2 linked regions of the Caenorhabditis elegans genome follow. The protein of the gene in region 1 purifies or fractionates together with the protein of each later gene. This does not show direct contact. Each region holds a gene or a part of one and is shown on either strand. Other genes may lie near its edges. The genes, in order: F47B7.2 and rpl-35A.

Evidence for each region.
Region 2: the proteins of F47B7.2 (region 1) and rpl-35A fractionate together in Caenorhabditis elegans (co-fractionation; one large-scale study listed by BioGRID). This does not show direct contact.

Annotation. Positions count from the first base shown.
Region 1 is NC_003284.9:3,771,156-3,775,085, forward strand, and holds the start of F47B7.2 (Sulfhydryl oxidase), read left to right. Parts: upstream 1-1,606; 5' UTR 1,607-1,621; coding exon 1,622-1,679; intron 1,680-1,944; exon of another isoform or gene 1,945-2,076; intron 2,077-2,121; exon of another isoform or gene 2,122-2,384; intron 2,385-2,538; coding exon 2,539-2,675; intron 2,676-2,724; coding exon 2,725-2,807; intron 2,808-3,043; coding exon 3,044-3,155; intron 3,156-3,209; coding exon 3,210-3,367; intron 3,368-3,420; coding exon 3,421-3,763; intron 3,764-3,915; exon of another isoform or gene 3,916-3,930.
Region 2 is NC_003280.10:7,103,399-7,106,982, forward strand, and holds rpl-35A (Large ribosomal subunit protein eL33), read left to right. Parts: upstream 1-2,164; 5' UTR 2,165-2,170; coding exon 2,171-2,220; intron 2,221-2,444; coding exon 2,445-2,607; intron 2,608-2,651; coding exon 2,652-2,789; intron 2,790-2,835; coding exon 2,836-2,859; 3' UTR 2,860-2,918; downstream 2,919-3,584. Other genes in the region: farl-11 (DUF3402 domain-containing protein), read right to left, coding at 1-695, 745-924, 971-1,120, 1,165-1,311, 1,354-1,532, 1,573-1,603; F10E7.9 (Amino acid permease/ SLC12A domain-containing protein), read right to left, coding at 3,093-3,203, 3,247-3,456, 3,500-3,584.

The sequences.
Region 1 (3,930 bases):
CGTTCTGGGTGTTTTCTAGGAGGAACACCCGTACTAACTCTACACGCACGCTAGCCGCGCCGCGTGTCTCCGCCTGACTCCAGATTCTTAATACAGCTCGATTTTTTAGTGAAAATCAAGAGCTGCAACGGTCGATGCACCAATGTTGACACTCGGGACTAGTAGAGGGGAGTCAGTCACCCTACCGAGTGACAAACAGCGTATTTCAGATACGCGCGGAGAGACACGGAGCAATGTTCGAGCGGCATTGGTGATAAGCGGTGCGGAGAGAATAACAGTACACAGTTTCAGACGAAATTCCAGTTTATTCAGAGGATATAAATAGGAATTAAAGTGATTATCAGGATGGAAATGGTGAAGAAAGGTCCTGAATCACAGTGTCTGCGGATGGGTAGCCGCTGACTCGTCTGGAGAAAGGTAGAACAGAATGAACGATTGGCCTAAAAGTAGGATAGAATTATTGTGTGGATTTACGGAGCTACGACGCTCCGGAGTAACGGGAGGTCTCGGAGGAGCGCGCTTGCATCGGGAAATACGCAAATGGCGGTAATTCAAAAGGGAATTATTATTAATAGATAATAAACGGAAAAGGACAACGGAGAGTGAATGTATTCGCGGATGATGAGTGGTGGCGAGTGGGTGAGCCTGACCGGTCATATATCTGCAAAGTTGGGACGCAGGGGAAGCGTTAGGCCCAAGTCACAACAGTTATTACTGTGAATTTTTTCTAGTTTTAATACTGAATTAAGCATTAAATAAAAAAAGTAGAATTTAAAAACTTTTATAACATATTTCTAGAAGAAATCTAAATGTTACTTCTGCTTCTGTAGACATTTTAATTTTAGTTAAGTAGTTTTGAAAAATATGTATTTTTTGATTTTGAAATTGTTTAAAATGCACGCAGATTAGTTTTTGAACATGAAATATTATTGACACCAATTTTATCAGTATTGTATATTGTTTTGTTTTTTTTGTACTGTTTTTTTTAATTGTCACAAATATAGAGCAGCTACAAAAATTTGAAACAAAAAGTTTTGAATTTATATATTTATTTTTTGCTTTTTCTGTTTTGGTATACGTTTTTTTTTGTTTTTTTTTCAGATATCTCCTGTTTAGTTTGCAGTTTTGGAGCCGATGGTTTTTTAAACCTTGCTAAAAAAAATATAATACGATTTTTAAATAATAATGTTATTGAAAACCGTGGTATATATTTTTTTCATTTCAAAAAACATCTTCCATTATGTTGAAATACTCAATGCAACGTGTATATAACAGAACACAACATTCAATTTCAATTTTTCTCAATTCAATTTTCCATTCAAATTTCTCAATAAAATATAAATTATTATTCCGTCAATATCATAATGTTCTCACATAACTTATTAAATACACTAATATAATAAGTAACTTTCACGCAATCACCATATAATTTTAGGCTGCAAACACTACAACCTACGCACAATTGCGGACTTCCACGCAGGCACCTAGGCTCATTTGCCAACTTGTTATTTTTTTTTCAGAATTAATTAAGTTTATTTTTCTGTGTTACTAAGTTTAATCTGTGTATTTTTTCTTCACTATCATTTTGTTACTTCTGTTAATTTCAGGGTTAATTCACCGCATGAACGAAAAAGAGCCAGGAGTGGCAAAGAGTCTGTGCATAGCTGCCGTCATAACAGGTTCGTTGCAAGAAAATTGAGTTATCGATCGGCGGTGTGCACGTCAGCACGGCCCGTTTAGTGTACGGTTCACATCAAAAAATTTTATTGGCATATGCGAGAAGACAAATTCGCCGATGTATATTTCACTTTCGACGGCATTGTCCCGCTGCCGGACACCATTTCCATTCTATTTTTGATAATCGAGACGATATTGGCTTCTGTCCGCCGTGCACCAACCGTCATGTAGTCTAGGGTTTGGCGACAGTTCGGCAGGCGAAACGAAACTCCCATTAAACACATATTGGAAGACGCGCTGTCGTGGGATGAGTGCGACCTTATTATTGAGTGACCTCATTGCAGTGAATCATCACTCGGTTTTCATTTCATTCGACGCGCCATATCCGAATGGGTGTTTGTTTTTTGCACTACAATTAGGTATACCTTGAAACATTATAACAAAAAAGTCACCGAAGTAAATTTCTCCCCGAGTATGTTTTGCTTGCAATCAATGTCTTCCGCGCTCGAGATAGGCGACCATAGCTTGCTTCGTCCACCCAAAAACCTGTTCGAACTAGCCACTTCCCCGTCCGCAAGTCGAATTTTCTTCTTTCATCGCTATCCTACACGCGTTTCGCTGTTTCTCACATTCAAATCCGCTTTTCTCTTCTTTTCCCTTTTTTGCTGTTAGTGAGATTTTAGATTTTTAGAAAACCCTTTTTGGTGACGTCTGAACTATATACACTATCATAACAAAAGTAAAAGTGTGACGGATTTTTTGTCATAAGTTTAATTTCTGTCTAATAGTGTATTCATATCTTTCTTTAATCTTCAATTTTGAATAGGAGTTTAAAACTATAAGCTATTGGTTTTTTTGCAGGAGTGTTTATGCTATTCATCTTGGTAGTTATCTTGGCGTTCAGCGCTGGAGGAAGCTCTGGCGAATCACTATACGACAAAGACGATCCGATTCTCGAACTCGATGTAGATACATTCAGTGCAGCTATCTATGGATCCGTATGTTTTTTCCCTTGAAAAACTCCAAAATAAACTGAAAGCTTTTCAGAAAAAAGCACATTTCATCGAGTTCTACTCTTCATGGTGTGGTGCTTGCATCGGATATGCTCCAACGTTCAAAAAGTTCGCCAAGTAAGTTCAGATTAGCAAAATGGAATGCACATTGATAATATTTACATAGTGATTGCATGGCTTTCATGCCGACGATTTTTTTAAATCAAACAAAAAACATTCCGCAAAAACTTGAAAAGGTTATATCTCGGTTCATTTTGAGTAATGAAAAACTATAAACTATACAATTGAAAATTGCATACTCAAATATATGTATAATAAAAAGTTCCACGATTTTTTCAATCCAATAATTTCAGACAACTGGAAAAATGGGCTCCGCTCGTTCAAGTGACTGTGGTCAACTGTGCCGATGACAAGAACATGCCACTTTGCAGAGAGCACTCTGTTAGCTCATATCCATCTCTTAGAGTAAGCAAACAATTTTTTAAATGAGAATGGAAATCTTAATACAACAATTTTCAGTACTTCAAATACAACTCGCACAATAAGGACGATGGAATGAAGTACAGTGGGGACAAATATGACATCAACAAGTTGGCTCATGATATCGCTGGTCTTGCTCAAGCCGATGCTCAAAAGCAAAACCCTGAAAGCTGGCCGACCTTCTTGCCACTTTCTGAGTAAGTATTTTGTGATTAACGCAGATTTAAATATTTCAAAACAACCTTTTTAGCACTACCACGTTGGAAGAAGTGTTCAAGTCGATTGGAACAACTTCATATCTTGCAATTGTCGTTCAAGACAGTCCATCTGTAATAGCATGGGCGAACTTGATCAATTATCACGGGAACAATGGTGTCAAAGTTGCTTATGTTACCCAAAATCATCCAATTGCCACCAAGTTCTTCTCCGATGGCGGTGTGCATGCATTACTGTTCTCCAACGGAAATCAGGAGCCACTGTGGAAGAGTAGCAGCCCGGTCGACAAGTGGGTTGATGTTCAAGACAAAATCGATGAGCTGATTGGAGATAAAATTGCCGCTTCGGGACCAACTGTTCATCCGATCAATGCTGCGGTAAGTCTATAAACATTTTTTTATGTTGAAAATGGGCAAATGGGCTTGTAAATAAATTCAGGGCTGGGCTTCGAGGTGGAAACAATTTTGGAGAAAAATAAACAGATTATTTTCGGTATGTGGACCGCATGGCGTGGCTAACTCTTCCTGATTGAGCTGCACATTAA
Region 2 (3,584 bases), on another chromosome or scaffold:
GAAGCAATCGTTGAGTCTTCGGAGCTCGCTTCCGAATAAGCGTCTTCGTCTTTTGAATCATCATTATAAGCCATTTGACGGGCCATCATACCGCCTCTCGCAAAACTTCCAGCTCTATGAGCCATATTACGAACATGTTCTTGGTCTTTTGCGATAAATGCGGCCTGTGATGCAGCTACAGTTATAGTATCCTCCATTATATCAAGGCCAGCAGTCATTCGTTTCTCTCTTTTACGAACAGTAAGCTCCTCCCAACCTCCAAGCGTCAGCAATAAAATTTTCCAGATAAGCAGGACAATCTTTTTAATTGGAAAATGTGGTGCAGTTCCTATGTAGAACGGATGAAGCATGTCGAAAAGTACAATAAGAAGAGGCTCATTTCCATTTTCGATTGGTTCTTGAACTTCTTCGCGAAACGCTTTTCTGGTTTCAAGATCACTATCGGTTTCGTCTTCTCTTCCAGATCGCTCATCGAGAATTTGAACAATCATATGATAAAGTCCAGCGAGAATTACGCGAAGCATTTCATTATCAACCATAGTTGGCAACTGCCGCGTTCTCCATTTTTCAGAATCCGAGAGATCGGCTAAACTGGCATTCCTGCTACTTCTTGAGCTTGCTTTTGAAATTCTCCCGTCGTTCGGTGGGCTCTCAAATGGTTCTTTAATTTCTGTCATCAACAGAGTACACAACGCCTGAAAATGTACATTTTTAAAACAATGATTGAAAATTATAAAGATATACCTGGTAAACGCCGTTCTTATAACAAATGAAAGAATTCTCGATTGCACGATGGTAGACCATTGAAGGGCCCTCAGGGTCCATTTCTTTGGTTTTTCGAATAGGGACATTCATCAACAATTTTTGATCATACTGATATTCAATTTCCTCATTTTCTAAACATCCAAAGTCTGTTGCTGATCCCTGAAATTTAAATAAATATATATCGAATAACAAATGAGAGACAAACCTGGAGCAGAAAGAGAATTATACGAGCTGATTTCAAACGAACTTCCAAATCTGCACTTTCCATTCGAGAGCAAAGGTCTTGAATAACATAATTTTTTTGGACAGCACTAAATTCTTCGAATGTCGATGGAAACTGTTCGTGCTTGCCGTCCTGTAAAAGAAAAATAACTATTTTCCTGTTGTAAAATCGCTTGCATATGATTCCTCTATATATTCCTTCCAGTTGCTGATGTTAATACCGAACTCTTCTATTTCAGAATAACTGTAAAGTTCTGCCATTTCACGAATTCCTGCATCACCGTCACCATACTCGAAATCTAGATCTTTATCAATGGCGGCAACCTGCAAAACTGTATTGTTTTTCAACTTCTTCATGAAAATTACATTATCAGAGCTTTCATGATGAATGAATCCGCCATACGCTGGAGTTATCATAGGCTGAGCTTCTTTCAGTTGCTTCAATTTCAAAACATTTGCTGATCGTCTTGCGGCCAGTGAGCTTTCGGAGTATTCAACATGTTCATCATCAGCACTTCGCCTTTCTTTGTCACCATAAACTGGAACTATTAGGAGGTTTATTTGATGATATATTCATTTTCTCACCGTCTTCTGCAAAATTAGGCCTGATTCCCATTACATTCGGCTTTCTCGTTCAGTAGAACTAAAAATGAGTATTTTATTCAATTGTCAAGCGCAAGCAAATTCCGTAAGAAACTATTATATAAAAAAACAGGAAAGCAAAAACAAAACAATATTTTTTGCAATTTGCTAAACAACACGCACTACGACACTCCGCTTTAACGTTTAGATGTGCAGGCATTTCTACCGTAGTTATTTTGCGCCTCGACTCGTTTTACGGAATTTTTTCTTTTCTTTTACCAATTTTCATGCTGGCCTACGAATTTTTTGAGCAGAAAATGGATATTTTTGTAATAAAATCAATATTATCATGTTTATCTTATTCCCCGCTGTTCTCTTACTTGGATCATTTACGAAAAACCACTTTTTGATTTTAGGACTTCGTTAAATCTCGATTTTTTGTAAAAAGTTTCAACTTACTTATTCTTCGCAATTATTCTCCAGTCTCATAAAAATTGTTAAAACAGTTATCTGAAAAATGTTCATTTGTTATTTCGTCGCTATTTCGTTTCTCCGTCCACTTTAAACTTCTTCACTAAATTAATTTTCGTTTCAGGTAAAAATGGCTGACACCGCTGTTGCTAGAAGACCATCGGCCCCAACTACTGGACGGTATGTTTTTGCTTTTTTTTTTTAATCAGTGACCGCTGGATATTTTTGAGCTCTGCTGAAAAATATTCAGACTGCAAATTCTTCATATAGTCTTTAAAAAATGTATAGTAGCATTATCCTAACTATTTCTAGTCTTATCTAATCCGCGGCATTTTTTTCCATTTTCTCGGATCAGCAATTCACAAATCAGGACATCAACAAAATAATAATAAATTAATTTTCAGTCTTTACGTCAAAGCCATCTTCACCGGATTCAAGAGAGGACTTCGCACCCAATCCGAGCACACCTCGCTTTTGAAGCTTGAGGGAGTCTTCAACAAGGAAGATGCTGGTTTCTACGCCGGAAAGCGCGTCGTCTACTTGTACAAGGCCCACAACAAGACTTTGGTATCGCACATATATTTTTCAGTTTAATTTTTTTTTCATTTTAGAAAACCGGACACACCGTCGCCACCCGTACCCGTGCTATCTGGGGAAAGATCACTCGCCCACACGGAAACGCCGGAGCCGTTAGAGCCAAGTTCCATCACAACATCCCACCAAGTGCCCTCGGAAAGAGAATCCGCGTGGTAAGATAATTCTAGTTTTATTCAATTGCACATTGATTTCTTTCAGCTTCTCTACCCATCCAACATCTAAGTGGTGATCTTCTGTTATTGTTATTGTTCGCAGTTGTAATAAACAGTTGTGACTTTGAATGTACGTTTTAAATTGTGCAAAATCACATTCTATTGAAAACATTAATTCATATAATTGTAAGTTTATTGTGAAACTTTCTCTTCTGGAAACGTATATTTTCTAAAGTTTTTATTAACAAAATTGGAGCGATTTAAGGTTTTAAGGATGAATTATAGTTTCTATTGTTAATAAGATTAATCTAATTGATGAGAAACATTCTCCGAGTGATGATATTGTCGTCTGTCTTGATAATCTGGATTGGCCTCGTTTTGTTGGGAACTCGATACGCCGCTCGTAAATGTTGTCTGAAAAAAAGAAACTAATCCTGGTTCAAAAATTCGTTCTCACCTCTGGCAAAATTGTTGTGGCACCTGATCGCAAAGAATCTAATGAAGAAAACACTGTTTTGAACATGTGACATAACGAGAAAGTTGAAATTCCCGGACCACAAGTTGGGCAGACTCTTCCAATGTACCAATACAACGCGATGAGAGCGACAAAATGAGCTACAGCAAACCAGAAATGAATTAAGAGAAGGATTGCCAAGTTCACCAGAAACTGAAAAAAATACTTGAAAAACTTTAAGATATGTACCACTCACTCCCAGAAAAGACACGTATCTGTTGCTGAACATGGAATACCATGTTGCTTCTTGGGAAATTATTCCAGTTTCAGTTTCCTCAGTG